Linked DNA regions of Yarrowia lipolytica. The protein of the gene in region 1 interacts with the protein of each later gene in a pairwise test. Links are inferred from orthologs where the notes say so. Each region holds a gene or a part of one and is shown in the gene's direction. Other genes may lie near its edges.

Region 1 (6,906 bases):
TGCTGTACGATGTTAGTGTGGAGGACAAAGAAAGGGCGGCGTCGGTTCTCTCTTTACAGTCCACACGTCTCTTATTACCTGCTCAGCAATAAATGCCTATCACTCAAGACTGTCTCAAACCATGGACATGGCATGTTTGTGTGGGCTTGTTTGTACGGTACGTTTGTACGTGCTTTTTATTTGCTTTCGTGGTTCAACCACCCCTGCATGGCAGCGTTGAAGTTGATTTCTCCACCTTCGGGATCGGCACTTAGTATCGACCGATGCACATAAAATTAAGGAGGTTTGATACGGGACCGTCTCCACTGAGCTGTGCCATAATGTCTGTCTGACGTTGATGTCTCGTTCCTTTGGACAAGGAAATGCCTCGACGCGTTTCTCTCTCACTAGGACAAAGCTCCAAAAAGTGTGTATAATAAATATTTTTCAACCAGCTCCCGTTTTCTTTGTGCGTGCCGTCTAGCGAAAAACCGTCTCCACCGTCTTGGATACGAGAGTTTAAGCGGTGCGACAGTTGGGCTAGTGGAGGGCCAAAATTCAACGCCTCTCATGCGACCTATATGGTTGACCCTCGAGAGTTGCCCGAAGCGGCAAAATTACTTCCTTTCTCGTCATTCCTCCACTTCGCTTAGACGTGTTTGATGTACTGGTAAAACGGCACCAGTGTTTTAGTATGGTGCTTGTGCTAGTTCCTGGAAGTCCAGGCTCTGTGGCGGTTGTGCTAAAACAACAAGACGGGTGGTTTTAGGCCGCAGAAGGCCGTTTTTTTATTGCTCCTTGGTTTGTGAAAACACTGCTGCCTGTAGTTATTTGCCAACCTTTCTTTTTCTGGATCACCCCACCTCGACCAGCAAGATGAGGTAGAGTAACTAACGAGAAGATCGCCTCTCTCGAGGAGCGCCATACAGGTATACATTATTACCCTGCCAAAAGACAAAAGATTAACCCAACTTAATCTCTCGGAAAGGATCTGGGATACCACCCACAGAGTTAGGCCTCAGCATAACATCTGCAGTTGGAGATAGCGGAGAGTCGCAAGTCGCCCAAGGCAATTTGCCTTGTGCTTTTGCCCAAACAAGAACAAGGCGCACTCTACATGATATTAGAAAATGCTGGAATGTCCAGAGGATGGTTTTATGGCTTAGAAGGGGAACGCCACGGCCATCGTAGTCCGACTTTTAGGCTTCCTTTAAATCGGTTAATCTTACCTACACAAGGAGCTTTCCACAGACCAAAACCATTTTGACACTGCACCAGCTTGTTATGGGTATGGTAGACACAAATCACCGACAAAAGAGCTCCCCACTAGCATAGTGCTATCATCCCCGGTCCTTGTCCTGCTAGCTCGCACAAGCACACCTCTAAAGAGTGCTAATTTGTTTGACAGCTCCAAGACGGTACAATAGGCAACATAGAGCCCATCTGACAGCCCAGTATGAAACACGAACGTTGACCAGAGAACAACGGTAGCGTGCAGAAGTTTGCTTGAAAACACGAGATTTGCCGCCACGTGCAAATTCCGGAGTGTCTGTCAGATGGTGTCCACATAACCGCGCTGTGGCCCCTAATTTCCAGAATCAATGTAGCATCTTGAGGAGGATAAGTTACACAACGAAGATCAGAGGCTGCTCCACTAGGTCGGCGGTCTCAAGTTAGTTTGTGTCTATTTTTAGTTGGTCAGACTTGATAATAGTCTCTCAGTCTGTGAGCTCAAAATAGGAGCCTCATAGTCTGGACTGGCACACAATAATTTCTTAGTCTCCGACCGCCTGCCAGCCCAGTGACAATAACTCTGTACAATGACAAGGGTTGAAGAGGAGTACAAGTACTTGTATAACTAGTTGTACTGTACAGCCGCTCCTCGTCCTCGAACATACGCTTCAAATCAACTCAACTGGCCGCAAGGGGTCGAACAGGGTTACCTTCTAAGTTGACATTCGATCGCAGACTTGTTACAGCTGTTGCAGTTATATTTCCCTGTGGCAGTAGAGAGAGGCCTTTACAGTGTTCGTGACAATTCTACTAATGAAAACCGATAGACAAGCTATCCAACGCTCTATCATAAGAGCTCTGCTATCTTATATGACTCATTAGGGTCTATCAGCCCCGTATAGAGGAATAATATATGAAAAATGAGCCAAGAAGGTGCTGGTGCGCGCCCCCACAATCCCAAAGTTGACGACTATCGCATCCCACTCCGTATAGCATCAATTGGAATGTTGTACATTTAATATTTTCATTTGTCGAGCCCGTAAAATGTTCGGATCCAATTCTGTAACCGTTATATTAGCTTATCTTGTAGCCTTTAGCCCACCCGAGTAGAAGGGTTTAAAACGAAGTGTCCACCAGGGGTTTTCAAGGACGATATCGGCTATTGGTGCCGTTAGATACCGCGGGGGTCTGTAGCCTCGGTTAGAGGAAAAGTGGCGTGATCTCGTTGGCGCAGGTCTAGAAGAATGTGATTCTTACTGTAGCTGTAGGCCAGCTATTGGTTACGTTACTGTAATTCACTTGAAGGCTTGTTGAGAGAAGTAACTACAAGTAAAAGTGAAGTCCTTTGCAGATAACTGCAGGGAGGTTTGTTAGTTGCAATCGCGTATACTTGGAAAATATCACATGCAGATAAGAAACGCTCACATAATACAATGCAGAATTTGCCGAAACTAAACACTTTTGATAACTACGTACTCTCTTAATAAATCCGCCTAATACTCGCCACCGTAGTCCCCAACACTTACTCAGCGAGGATAGGCCGTTTTAAGTTTCACCTCCCAACCTTATACAAAAAAATCTCGAGAGTGCATGAGCATCGTTTTCAGGTGAAAATACATTACCACTCACCACATACACCATGGATATCTTCAAAGTACTATCTCGAGGAGCCACGATCCAGCGAAACGGTAAACACAGGAAGGACCTGACTCTGCTCAACCACGCTGCTCCCAAAGACACCCAGGACAATGTCGACATTGAAGTTGCCCGAGAAACCGACTTTTTCAAGACCAAGACAGACACTTACTCCAAGAAGCGAGTAGCTGAGGAGGCTGAGCTGGACAATGAAGAGGAGGAAGAGGCTCCCCCGCCCATTATCAGTACTCCCGAGGAGGCTGTGGTTTTCCGAAACAAGCACAAGATCAACATCACCGGAGAAGACTCCCCTCTGCCCATTGGGTCGTTTGAAGACCTCATCACTCGATTCAACTTGCATCCCTATCTTCTGGCCAACCTCAAGAAGAACAAGTACACAGACCCTACCCCGATCCAGTGCGAGAGTATCCCTACAATGCTGAACGGCCGAGATCTGATTGCCTGTGCTCCAACTGGTTCCGGTAAGACTATGGCCTACAGCATCCCCATGGTGGAGATGCTGGGTAAGAAGAAGGGCTCCAAGGACGCTAAGAAGGGAATCAAGGCACTGGTGGTTGCCCCCACCAAGGAGCTGGCGTCTCAGATCTTCAACGCTGTGTTCTCGCTCTGCGTGGGTGTTGGAAAAAAGAAGGACGAGCTGAAACCCTGCTTGCTGGACAAGAGCACGGCCGACAAGCTGCGAAACGGAAAAGTCAGCTCCCAGAAATACGACATTTGCATTACCACCCCCCTGAGACTGGTCTCCGCCCTCAACGACGGCAGCCTGGACCTTGGATCCCTGGATCTGGTCATCTTCGATGAGGCCGACAAGCTGTTTGAGAAGGGCTTTGCCACCCAGGTCGATGACATTCTGGCAGCATGCCCCTCGGGTATTCAGAAGACTCTGTTCTCCGCAACCATTCCTGCCTCTGTCGAGCAGCTGGCAAACAGTATCATGAGCACCGACCCTCTACGTATCATTATCGGTAACAAGCAGGCTGCTGCCCAGACCGTTGAGCAGAAGCTGGTGTATGCTGGAAACGAGGAAGGTAAGCTTGTGGCTATCCGACAAATGGCCCGAGAGGGTCAGCTTGTGGCCCCTGTCATCATCTTCCTGCAGTCCATCGACCGAGCCAAGGCACTGTTCAAGGAGCTGGTTTTCGACGGAATCAACGTCGACCAGATCCATGGAGACATGACTGCGGCCAAGCGAGCTTCCGTCATCGACCGTTTCCGAAACGGAGAAGTCTGGGTGCTAATCTGTACCGACGTTCTGGCCCGAGGTATCGATTTCCGAGGCATCAACCTGGTCATCAACTACGATGTACCCCAGTCTGCACAGTCTTACGTGCATCGAATCGGACGAACCGGTCGAGCTGGCCGACTCGGCAAGGCCGTCACCTTCTTCACCAAGGAGGACGCTACCAATGTCAAGGTGGTAGTCAATGTCATGAAGCAGTCTGGACAGGAGGTACCCGACTGGCTCAACAACCTCGCTCCCCTGACTCAGAAGGAGCGAGACAACATCAAAAACAGACCCATCAAACGAAAGAAGATCTCTACTCAACATGCTCTGGCTAACAACAAGAAGAAGCGGGCCAAACAGCAGATGAAGGGTCTCAAGAAGATGAAGAAGGACGACGAATAAGTTATTGTGGACCGCCTAGGCCATGCTATAGACTAATGTACATCAGATAAATGGAGCGAGCTGTCGTAGAGATGTATTAAAGCTGACGTGCGATCTGTGTCTGTACGCCCTTCACTTTCCATACGATGCAAGCCATACACACAGGCAGATAATTAGCTGTTACAAGTATATAGGTCAGATACTGGAAAAACGACACCGTTAAAACCACTCAGGAACAATTCAATAGAAACGCAAAGCGTCAGTTTTAAATTACATGTTAATCGGATTTCTAATGTCCAATTTAGTGCTTGTCAGCAGAGGGGACCTTGTAGCCAATGACGTTTCGTCGGCCGATAACCTCACCGAGGGTGAAGAGACCGAGGATCTGGACACCGTAGGCAGTGTATCGGAGAGCGTCAGTCTTGGTGATGGACTCAGCACAGTCAATGACCTTCTGGGGCTTGAGGGCGTAAGACTTGACGGAGTTGAACAGGTTCTGGTAGACAGACTGGAACTGAGAAAGAGAGGGGGGAGCAAAGCCCTCCTTGAGGTAGATCTGCTTTCCGAGCTCACCGGTGACCTTGGCCCAGTAGACGGCACAGTTGGTGATGCCTGAGTTAGTATAATGTTGGGGGTTGACTGCCTTGGAGTAGTGGCATGATTCGAGGAGTAGAACAGATACAGATTCCCGGAGTGGATAGGGTGTTGATCGGAGTACTGAACGAGATTGATTCCAATGAGGTGGGCCGCTGATGACACTGGAACTGCTAACGATGTCGCACTAGTGTACTCGTCTCTATCACGTGTCTAGTGTCGTCGTTCACAACTTCCGACACGTCAAGCTGATGAAACACCATCTGGTAGCACCGGTAAACACCACAATCACATCCAATCAAAACAGGACACTCTCGTGCCACACTCTCCTTGCACTTGTCCATCCCCGACCCCCATATACGCAGCTGTGTTGCTTGTTATCGCCGGAAAATCGAAAAGTCTCCTAGCTCGAGAAATACTCACCCTGGACCTTGGCTCCGAGACCCTGGGCCTTGGAGGCAGCCTTGGAGGCAGCGGTGGACTGGAATCGCACCTGCTGGAAAACGCCAGAAACTCTGCTTCGGAACATTGTGTGTAGTTTAGGTGTGCTGATTTCTCAAGACGATTTGTGTATGTAAGAGTTTTTCTACCGCAGTGTTGGGAGGTTCGCCCAATCAGAATGCACGGGGCCGGGTAGCTGTTTGTGAAATTTAGGGTTAGGGTAAGTGTATTTCGCGGGTGCTGGAATGGTGTGGTGTCAGAAAATGATGTTTTGAAGGGTGAATGATGGGTGTTTGGGTTTCAGCATGACAAAGAGTTGCTGACATTGTCGACTGGCGTTGATATTTGTGTGGATGGGGTCGAATTACGTAAGCGGACAACGAAGGAGGCACTTTATTAGTGGAGGACGTCCTAAAAGTGTTGTGGTTGGTATGTAGGGTCATCAGTATTACGTCCATCCCAGTGAATGGTCTGTACAAGTGGGCTGTCGTAATTATCATATTAAAAACATGGGGCATGGCCTGTTTATAAGTGACAACGTCAAGGATATTAGTCTGATTGTCTCGAGGGGTAAGATCTCAAGCTAGCCCTCCGGTTAACTGCCTTGAACACCAATGTTCCAACTCTCTTTAGTTGACATGGTAAGTAAATACCCCAACTGGTGCTTCACAATATTCAACTAACATTTTAATAATTTACTTACTCCTACCGTCAACTAATTATCTCTTCTTTGTTGTGCAACTTCCCTCCGGATCAATCTCATCTCGTCAACTCTATCATGCATAGAACCTAAAAAGTTTGAGACGGTGAAAAAATCGCCAATATCCAGCCAAACGGCACTATATACAAAATTCTCCGCCTCGCCCCGCAACTTCCCCTACGCAGCTTCACACGACTATTACACATGACTGCTGCTTCTGCTTCCTCTGACGCGTCCGCCCCCACAAAGCTGGCTGGCCGTCAGCTGTTTGAAAAACTTGGCAAGCCCAAGACCATTGTGGCTCCCATGGTTGATCAGAGTGAGCTGGCCTGGCGAATTCTGTCCCGTCGACATGGCGCGGACCTCTGTTACACTCCTATGTTTCACGCAAAGCTCTTCGGCACTTCTGAGCGATACAGAGAGGAGATGTTTGGACCCATGGATGGAGATCAGACGACTGATCGACCTCTGGTGGTCCAGTTTTGCGCAAACGACCCTGATGAGCTGCTGGCTGCTGCCAAGCTAGTAGAGGATAGGTGTGACGCTGTGGATCTGAATCTGGGATGTCCTCAGGGCATTGCCCGAAAGGGCCACTACGGATCGTTTCTCATGGAGGACTGGGATCTGATCCACAAGCTCATCAACAAGCTGCACCTGGAGCTGAAGGTGCCCGTCACAGCCAAGATGCGAGTCTTTG
Region 2 (7,832 bases), on another chromosome or scaffold:
ATCATACCAACATGCAACTGCGATGGGCGTTGAAAGCACCATGGATGGCGCAGCGGTCTGTCCGGCTGTTCCACACCACCAGCATCAGTGAGTGTGTTCTTTTACGTGTCTTCCCACACCCCAAGACAGCCCCACTAACCCAGCATCGGTCCGAAAACTGCATCCGATCCTGCTTGGCAAGGCAGAGAGTATGAACAAGGAGTACGAGGCTCTTCAGGCGAGCCCTAACGAGGACCAGTTCAAGGACAAGAAGCTCATTGCGAAAATCAACTTGCTTGGTCAGGTGACGCACGAGCTGGACTCGTACAGAAACTCGATTGTGCAGTACGACGAGCTCATGAGCATGTGCGATGATCCCGAGCTGAAAAAGGATGCTGAAGATGAGATCCCCACCGTCGAGGCTGAGGCTGAGAAGGCTATCAAGAAGCTCGAGACTTTGCTTCTGCCCACACATCCTTACGGCGACATCGGCTGTATCATCGAGATGCGCCCTGGTATTGGAGGAGAAGAGGCCTGTTTGTTTACCGACAACCTGCTGAACATGTACACTGGCTATGCCGACGAGATGGGCTGGCCGTACCAGATCACTAACGTGACTCGTAACGACAAGGGTGGCATTACTGAAGTCATCCTTTCAGTAGACGGAGAGGGAAGTTACAACATGCTTCAGCATGAGGGAGGAGTTCATCGAGTCCAGCGGGTTCCTGTCACCGAGTCTTCTGGACGAGTCCACACATCTGCTGCCGCTGTTATCGTTTTGCCCCAGATATCAGAGAGTTCCGTTGCTGCTGATGACATTCAGTTTGCTCCTGGCGAGGTGCGAATCGATGTCATGCGAGCTCAGGGAGCCGGAGGACAGCATGTTAACAAGACCGAGTCGGCCGTTCGACTGGTTCATATCCCCACCAAGACAATGGTTGTGATGCAGAACTCGCGGTCACAACGCCAGAACAAGGAGATGGCCTTTATGATTCTCCGAGGCCGTCTGGCTGAACAGAAGCGACGCGAACAGGCTGCAAAGAGCAAGAACGCAAGAACCAGCCAGGTGTCTGCCACCGACCGATCTGACAAGATCCGAACATACAACTTCCATCAGAACCGAGTCACGGACCATCGATGTGGGTACAGCGGTAACTTGGACGTGGTCATGTCGGGCAAGAAGCTGGATGCAGTGTTGGAGGCTCTGGAGGACCATTTTAGAGAGGAGTCCATCAAGGATCTCGAGGTCCAGGAATAATGTATATAGCGAATTTTGGATGTATTAATACTGTCAAAGCTGTTTTAAAGCAGTTGTTAGGTGTCGTAACGAGTACTGATCAAAGGCTCCTATGGTGCGTGGGTCCAAACTACTTGCTTGTAGATTCAAGTAAGCTGACCAAAGATCAAGTAAAGCTAACTAAAGCGACGATAAGGCGGGTCATGGAACAATGCAACAAAACTGCGTTATTGTGTATGAAACCACAGAGTCGCAACTGATATTCATTTTCTATTCAGTCGTGAGTCATTTTCCATATCTATCTCCTGTTCTCCCCAACATCAGATAGCAGCGATGGTGCACGACATGGGTAAGGGCTTAACAGCACTACGTACGCGATCTCTAATTAATTTACCACTCGAATTCATCATTCCTGTCTCTACTTACTAGCACACACAATGTCTCTCGAAAACGAGGAAGCCTTGGCGTCACTACGCAGCGACATGGACACGGTGGTTCAGAACACGCTGAACCCGGCCATCGACACAACAGCCTGGAAAATCCGCGCCATCCACGAGTCCCAGGTGGTGCTCTCCACCGTGTTACATGGCCTAAGCATATGTGAGTGTGGTGTGATGCATGGACAGAGGCTTGGTTGTGTGGTTTCTGACAATACTGTACCATGGGGGTGGTTTACAATCAAGAGCAGGGTTATTCAGTGAGGGACACCATGGCGACGCCCTTTGCAACAATGCGGCCCGTGCAGACCAATTATCGAATGCTAACCGTGATTGTGGCAAGCACGATACGATACGATAAGATACGACATGACTTACCCGTTATGGGGCATTGTCCAATCGGACCTTGGGCCCTCATTCCCACTAACACAGCTCTAAAACACTACCAGGAAACCACCAAGGACCTGGTGGCGGTGTCTAGCATATCTGCACAGATCCGGGATGCAGAGGCCCGTCTGGAGAGCGTCAACAAGACGCTTGCGGCGGTGGAATCGCGGCTTGCTCGCATCAACTCCATGGTCTGAGTGAGTCCTACAATTGTAGTCTCACATGCCCTGGTCTGCGGGGAAAAGAGCCACAAGCCATTTCCCAGAATATATGCTTTTCTGTATGGCTGTGTGGACACTTCCTCAGACAGCAGCAGTCTAAGCTAACGGCTGCTCAGAGGTCGATCCATTGCATGCAGCTCCAGTCGGAGTTGAGAGAATCGGATTTACAGCACGTCTAATATTTATTCCCGTGTCGATTATTATCATCTCTTTATTTCGAGCCGCTTCTGCAGGTGTGGAGAAGAGAGGCCCCTTGCGTGTTCGGGTGAGACAATGCTGGGTTCGCTGACAGTTGCATTGTGAACCCACCCCATGTCATTGTATCAAGTCGTAGACGTGTGAATTACGTCACTTTTATGTTCCTGATATTCACATTCAGACAAAAAGCCAAAAAGAGACTCTTCGGTGTACCCCCGCTCAAATAGAGTTGCTTTGTTGGGTTACCGAGCCTGACAAGCCCCGAACACGAGGGCCGTATTCGTTGGACTATGGCACTTGTTGGCGGGATGGTGGGGAATAAGTACAGCTCCAGTAGTCACATTGTGAGTGTAATCGCCCTGGCTAAAATGTAGAAGCCACTTCGCCTGCAACGGCAGCACAGTCGTGGTACTGTTCATCCCACAGGGCCCGTCACTCAACACATGGTCTCTAACTAAGCCCCCACCACATCCCCAGTTTATCACCTGCAAACAGCATGTGCCATGCAAACCAGTAATTAGACTTTGAAACCCGCAATATAATGTCGAGGACATAATCGCTCCTTCAAACTAACCACCGAATCCATATTGCAACCCGTCTCGCCATGGAAACCATCGAAGTGGCCTCGCGGTCGTTTGTCATCAAGTGGGTCACTGCCCCCGAGGGCTCCGCCATCACCTTCAAAGTTCACCCCCTGAAAAAGTCCATCAACGTGGGCATCTTCGAGAAGGAGCGGAGCAACAACTTGCAGGTCGAAATCGAGGCTGAAGGACACAATGCCGGCCGACGAGCCTCCATCTCGGCTCCCCACTCGGGAACCATCGAAAAACGACTTGAATCAAGCGGATTGTCCCCTGTTCTGCCGCTCAAAAAGTGCAACGCCAACGAACAGTCCGAGGGAGTCTACAAGGTCCCCAAGGGAAAGGGAGGCATCTACGCCCTTGTGTTCGACAACACCTTCTCCAAAACCACACCCAAAACCGTCCATTTCACTGTCCAGGCCATGGAAGAGGGACATGCGGCTAACAATGCTCCCCATACCCTTGTCTCCGAGACCGCCGTATCCGGTATCCTGCTCAAAAAGCGACGAAAGAAGCTCCAGGGATACACCCGACGGTACTTTGTTCTGGATCTCAAGCTGGCCATTCTCAATTACTACACAGACCCCAAGTCCAACTCGTTGCGAGGCTCTCTGCCCCTGACCTTGTGTGCCATCTCTGCCTCCAAGGCCCAGAGACTCATCTTTGTGGACTCGGGTATGGAGGTGTGGAACCTCAAGGCCCTCAACGACGCCGACTGGCAGATCTGGGTCGACACCTTTGAGCGGATCAGAAAGGGCAAGAGCGGAGGTGCTGCTGACGAACCTGTTCCCGCAGTCGCTGCTGTGACCGCACCTGACCAGGAGAAGTTTGCTCAGCTTGTGGCCAAGCTACGAGAGACCAAGGATATTTCCGATGTGGCTGCTCAGGAGCCCGGCGCTTCCAACGTGACCAAGGACCTCAATGCGCGCCTAGCAGCGCTGTATCTCGAGTTCACCGACGTGGTGTCCCATGTTGCTCATGAGAGCGCCATGTACTCACAGCCCATGGCCAAGCGAGCGTCCTTTAACGGCTCCATCATGTCCGAGCATGACACTTTCTACGACGCTGAGGAGAACCCCGACAAGGACGGAGTTGTGTTCCTGGACGACGACGCTGTTGACGACGATGACGACGGAGCTGAGCACGACTCCACAGACGAGGAGGACGAGGGACACCATGTTGCTCCTGTTGTCCATGATGCTGATGACGCTGATGATCTGTACCCACTGCATGAGGTTCAGCCGGTCAAGCACCGAGTCACTCTTCCTGATGCTGCTTCCACCCCCCCTTCCATGTTGGGTATCCTCAAGAAGAGTGTCGGCAAGGATATGGGCTCCATGGCCGTCCCCATCACCACCAACGAGCCTATTTCTGCTCTACAGAGATTCGCCGAGATGTTCGAGTACCCCCAGCTGCTGGACGAGGCTGAAAACGTGCCTGCCAATGACGGAGAGCGAATCATCTACGTGGCCACCTGGGCTGTCTCCTACCTCGCCTCCATGCGAGCTAAGGAGCGCGCTCTCCGAAAGCCTTTCAACCCTCTTCTTGGAGAGACCTATGAGCTGGTTCGACCCGATCTCGGTTACAGACTCATCTCTGAAAAAGTGTGTCATCACCCTCCCGTTATGGCTCTGCATGTAGACTCCGAGCATGGCTGGTCTGTGGCCCACTCGTCTGAGCCCGTGCAGAAGTTCTGGGGTAAGTCGATGGAAATTAACTACCTGGGCCCTATCGTCGTTAAGTTCCGACAGTCCGGCGAGGTTTTCCACTGGAGCAACCCCACCACGTACCTGCGAAACATCATGGCTGGTGAGAAGTACACCGAGCCTGTTGGCGACTTCACCATCTTCTCTTCCACCGGAGAGAAGGCCATTGTCGAGTTCAAGGCCGGAGGAATGTTCTCCGGTCGAAGCGAAGAGCTCAACATCAAGGCTGTTTCAGCTAATGGTTCTAACCTGCCCTGCTTCGCCTCCGGTAAGTGGACCGAGCAGATCACCCTCAACAACGCCAAGGGTCAGAAGAAGACCATCTGGAAGGTCGGCAACCTCGTCAACAACCACACCAAGAAGTGGGGTTTCACCGAGTTCACCGCCGGTCTCAACGAGGTCACCCCCATCGAAAAAGGACACGCTTCCCCTTACGACTCGCGGTTCCGACCCGACCAGAAGGAGTACGAGGCTGGCCAGACCGACAAGGCCGAGGCCGGCAAACAGGAGCTGGAGGAGAAGCAGCGGGAGCGACGAAAGGTGCTACAGGACTCGGGTAAGACGTACAAGCCCACCTTTTTCGAAAAGTCGTCTGGTTTGGACGGAGTCAACGAGCAGGGCGATCTGTACCTGCTTACCAAGGGTCCCAACAACTACTGGAACCGACGAAAGCAGGGCAACTGGGAGGGTCTTACTCCTTTGTGGTAGGCTGGTAGTTTAGACATGTAGACTATTTACCAATGAGATATGATTTTGATAAGCAGAGTGGAACTATAGCGATTGTGTTGCTACAAGTAAAAAAATTGGGATTTATATGTTGTTTCCAAGGGGCAAGTGGCATGTGCCCATCTACTAAAGAGCTCCATGCCTGTTGTTGTTACTCCGGTAACACTTCTATAACAACTTCCAGGTAACACTGCGTGTTCGACATGAGTATTCAACTCACTCGTTAACCCCTGCATTGAGAGCACAATCGAGGCATCTCGATCACACGACTCGTGCGATATGCTTCTTGGCAGGACTCTCATTTCGATACACTTTGTTGTCTTATCTCTATCAATATCAAGCTTGAAGGCTATGTCCCGCAAGTTCGTTCGATCTACAGTGTGCTGGTACTTGCAACCACCTCAGGTTTCAGGTCATAAAATTAATAAATAAATGCAATCATGCTAGCACTACTCTTCATCGTCGTCCATCAACTCGTCCTCGTCTTGTCTATTGATGACGACAAAGGACAGACACAGAATAATAGCGCCAAAAACGTATGTTAGTGAGGGCAGCGACCGTTTGATAAACAGGTCGCCTGCCATGGCCAGAGGCACGGTGGCCCCTAGGCCGACGGTGACCACCAGCGGCGAGGTCATGAGCATGGCCAGCACCCAGAAAAAGTCGGACACCAGAGTAGCAGCGGCGTTGGCCAGCACTATGAGCCACACTTTCTCCGTTTGGGGCAGACCAAACTTCTCCACTCCAAGGTAGTCCAAAAGAGGGATGGTGGGCCACAACAGGAGAATGTTGAACAGACCCACAAAGCCCAAAAACATCTTTGTGTTGATTCGAGACTCGTCCCCGACCTTAACCTTGAGCAGTGTCATGTAGAACCCGTAAACCACCGCTCCAGCCAGCGCCAGAAGATCCCCAAAAACAATGTCGCTGGTCTGGACACCCATTCTGGTCTGAGTAGCGACGGAATCGGCCTTGGAGACGAGAAACACGCCGCACATGCTGAACACCAGGGCCAGAAGCTTGGTGGCTGTGAAGGCCTCGACGCCGAATGCAGATCCAATCACCAGGGTGAAAAAGCTTGACGTGCATGACAGAATTGTCTGCGAGCTGACGCTAGTGTATTTGAGAGAGGCGTTTGTGAGGAAGTTGGAGAAGAACCAGAGTATGCAAAACTGGAGCGAGAGAATGGCCGTCTGTTTGGTGCTCAGTAGCTCGTCCTCGTCCTGTCCTGTGAGTTGTTCCACGGACTTGAACGGAGTGAGTTTGGGCGACTCGTCCGAGTTTTCATCAATGACCGAGTACTCGGGGGTCGCTGTTTTGTTGCCGCGCACCTTGCGGAACATGGTGGGAATCAAATAAACGCTGAAAACCGCAGTGTTCATATATGTGAGGAAGTAGGGCTTGGGGTACTCTCCTGTGGAGAAGATCGAGTTGACCAGAAAGCCAGAAGCCACCCACAAAAGCACCACCAATCCCAGCAGAATCAGACCCACTCGCCACCGACGGCGTCTTAGCGCGCGGCTCTTCTTGTTATGTTTTTTGGCGGACGCGTCGAATTCATCAATGATTCCACTGGAGCCGGAAAGCGTGGGTCGCAACTCCAGAACCGATCCTCCGTTGTGAGACTGGCGTCGACTTTGAGAGCCCATACTGGTATAGTCGGGCGAAGGATGAGTCTCGTGTAGCATTTGTGTCTGTGTAGAAGTAGTTGCGAATCTTCACTGTGCCATTTGCTGTCCTTGCTTGAGAATGTGGGAGCGCTCTTCCTTATCAACCACTTATCTTTCCCCTAAAATTTTGGCTTCCCAAACGGGTAAAACGAGATGATGTTAGGTCACGTTACCTCAAACAATGCACTGCAGTTTTTTAGTAAAGTTATTCCTGAGCAACAAGCCCGTGTCACGTCCAAGAACAGATACAACCACCTTGCGTGGGGGGGGGGGGGCAAAGTGTCGATATATGGACCGCCAAGTGCTCGGACTACGATAATCGATCGATAACACGTGACATGCTCTGTTTACCATCGTTGTTGCTGCGGGCTGTGGCTTATCACTCCTCTCCAATGATGCCATCCCTAATTAATAACAACCGAACAAACCTTGTGCCGTGCGCCAGTTGTATCCGAGTGATGATGACATACTCGTACATGACTCAGGGCGGTTACTCGGGTGTGTGCATGAAAAGATGCAGTGAAGTGGATATCGTGGAGATGAAACGGAAACGATGTGGCGCATGAGATGAAGGGCCACAATGCGAATCCAGTCGTTGTCGTGTCCCGACGTCGTCCGTCCGTGTAACGACTCCATCCATCTCACACGTGTATACAGCCGATCTCCTTGTTACATTGTGGCTTGGTCACT

What was found. The genes of interacting proteins can lie anywhere in the genome.
Region 2: the proteins of YALI1_B28053g (region 1) and YALI1_E26930g interact in binary tests that used the Saccharomyces cerevisiae proteins (3 or more experiments, as listed by UniProt). The link is inferred for Yarrowia lipolytica from reciprocal best matches to the Saccharomyces cerevisiae genes ROK1 and OSH3.

Annotation. Positions count from the first base shown.
Region 1 is NC_090771.1:2,801,235-2,808,140, reverse strand, and holds YALI1_B28053g (uncharacterized protein), read left to right. Parts: upstream 1-2,851; coding exon 2,852-4,495; downstream 4,496-6,906. Other genes in the region: YALI1_B28025g (uncharacterized protein), read right to left, coding at 4,776-5,086, 5,492-5,597; YALI1_B28017g (uncharacterized protein), read left to right, coding at 6,414-6,906. UniProt on the Saccharomyces cerevisiae protein: ATP-dependent RNA helicase involved in 40S ribosomal subunit biogenesis. Required for the processing and cleavage of 35S pre-rRNA at sites A0, A1, and A2, leading to mature 18S rRNA.
Region 2 is NC_090774.1:2,689,969-2,697,800, forward strand, and holds YALI1_E26930g (uncharacterized protein), read left to right. Parts: upstream 1-3,063; coding exon 3,064-5,454; downstream 5,455-7,832. Other genes in the region: YALI1_E26900g (uncharacterized protein), read left to right, coding at 12-87, 144-1,237; YALI1_E26916g (uncharacterized protein), read left to right, coding at 1,654-1,816, 2,086-2,237; YALI1_E26971g (uncharacterized protein), read right to left, coding at 5,922-7,160. UniProt on the Saccharomyces cerevisiae protein: Lipid transport protein (LTP) involved in non-vesicular transfer of lipids between membranes.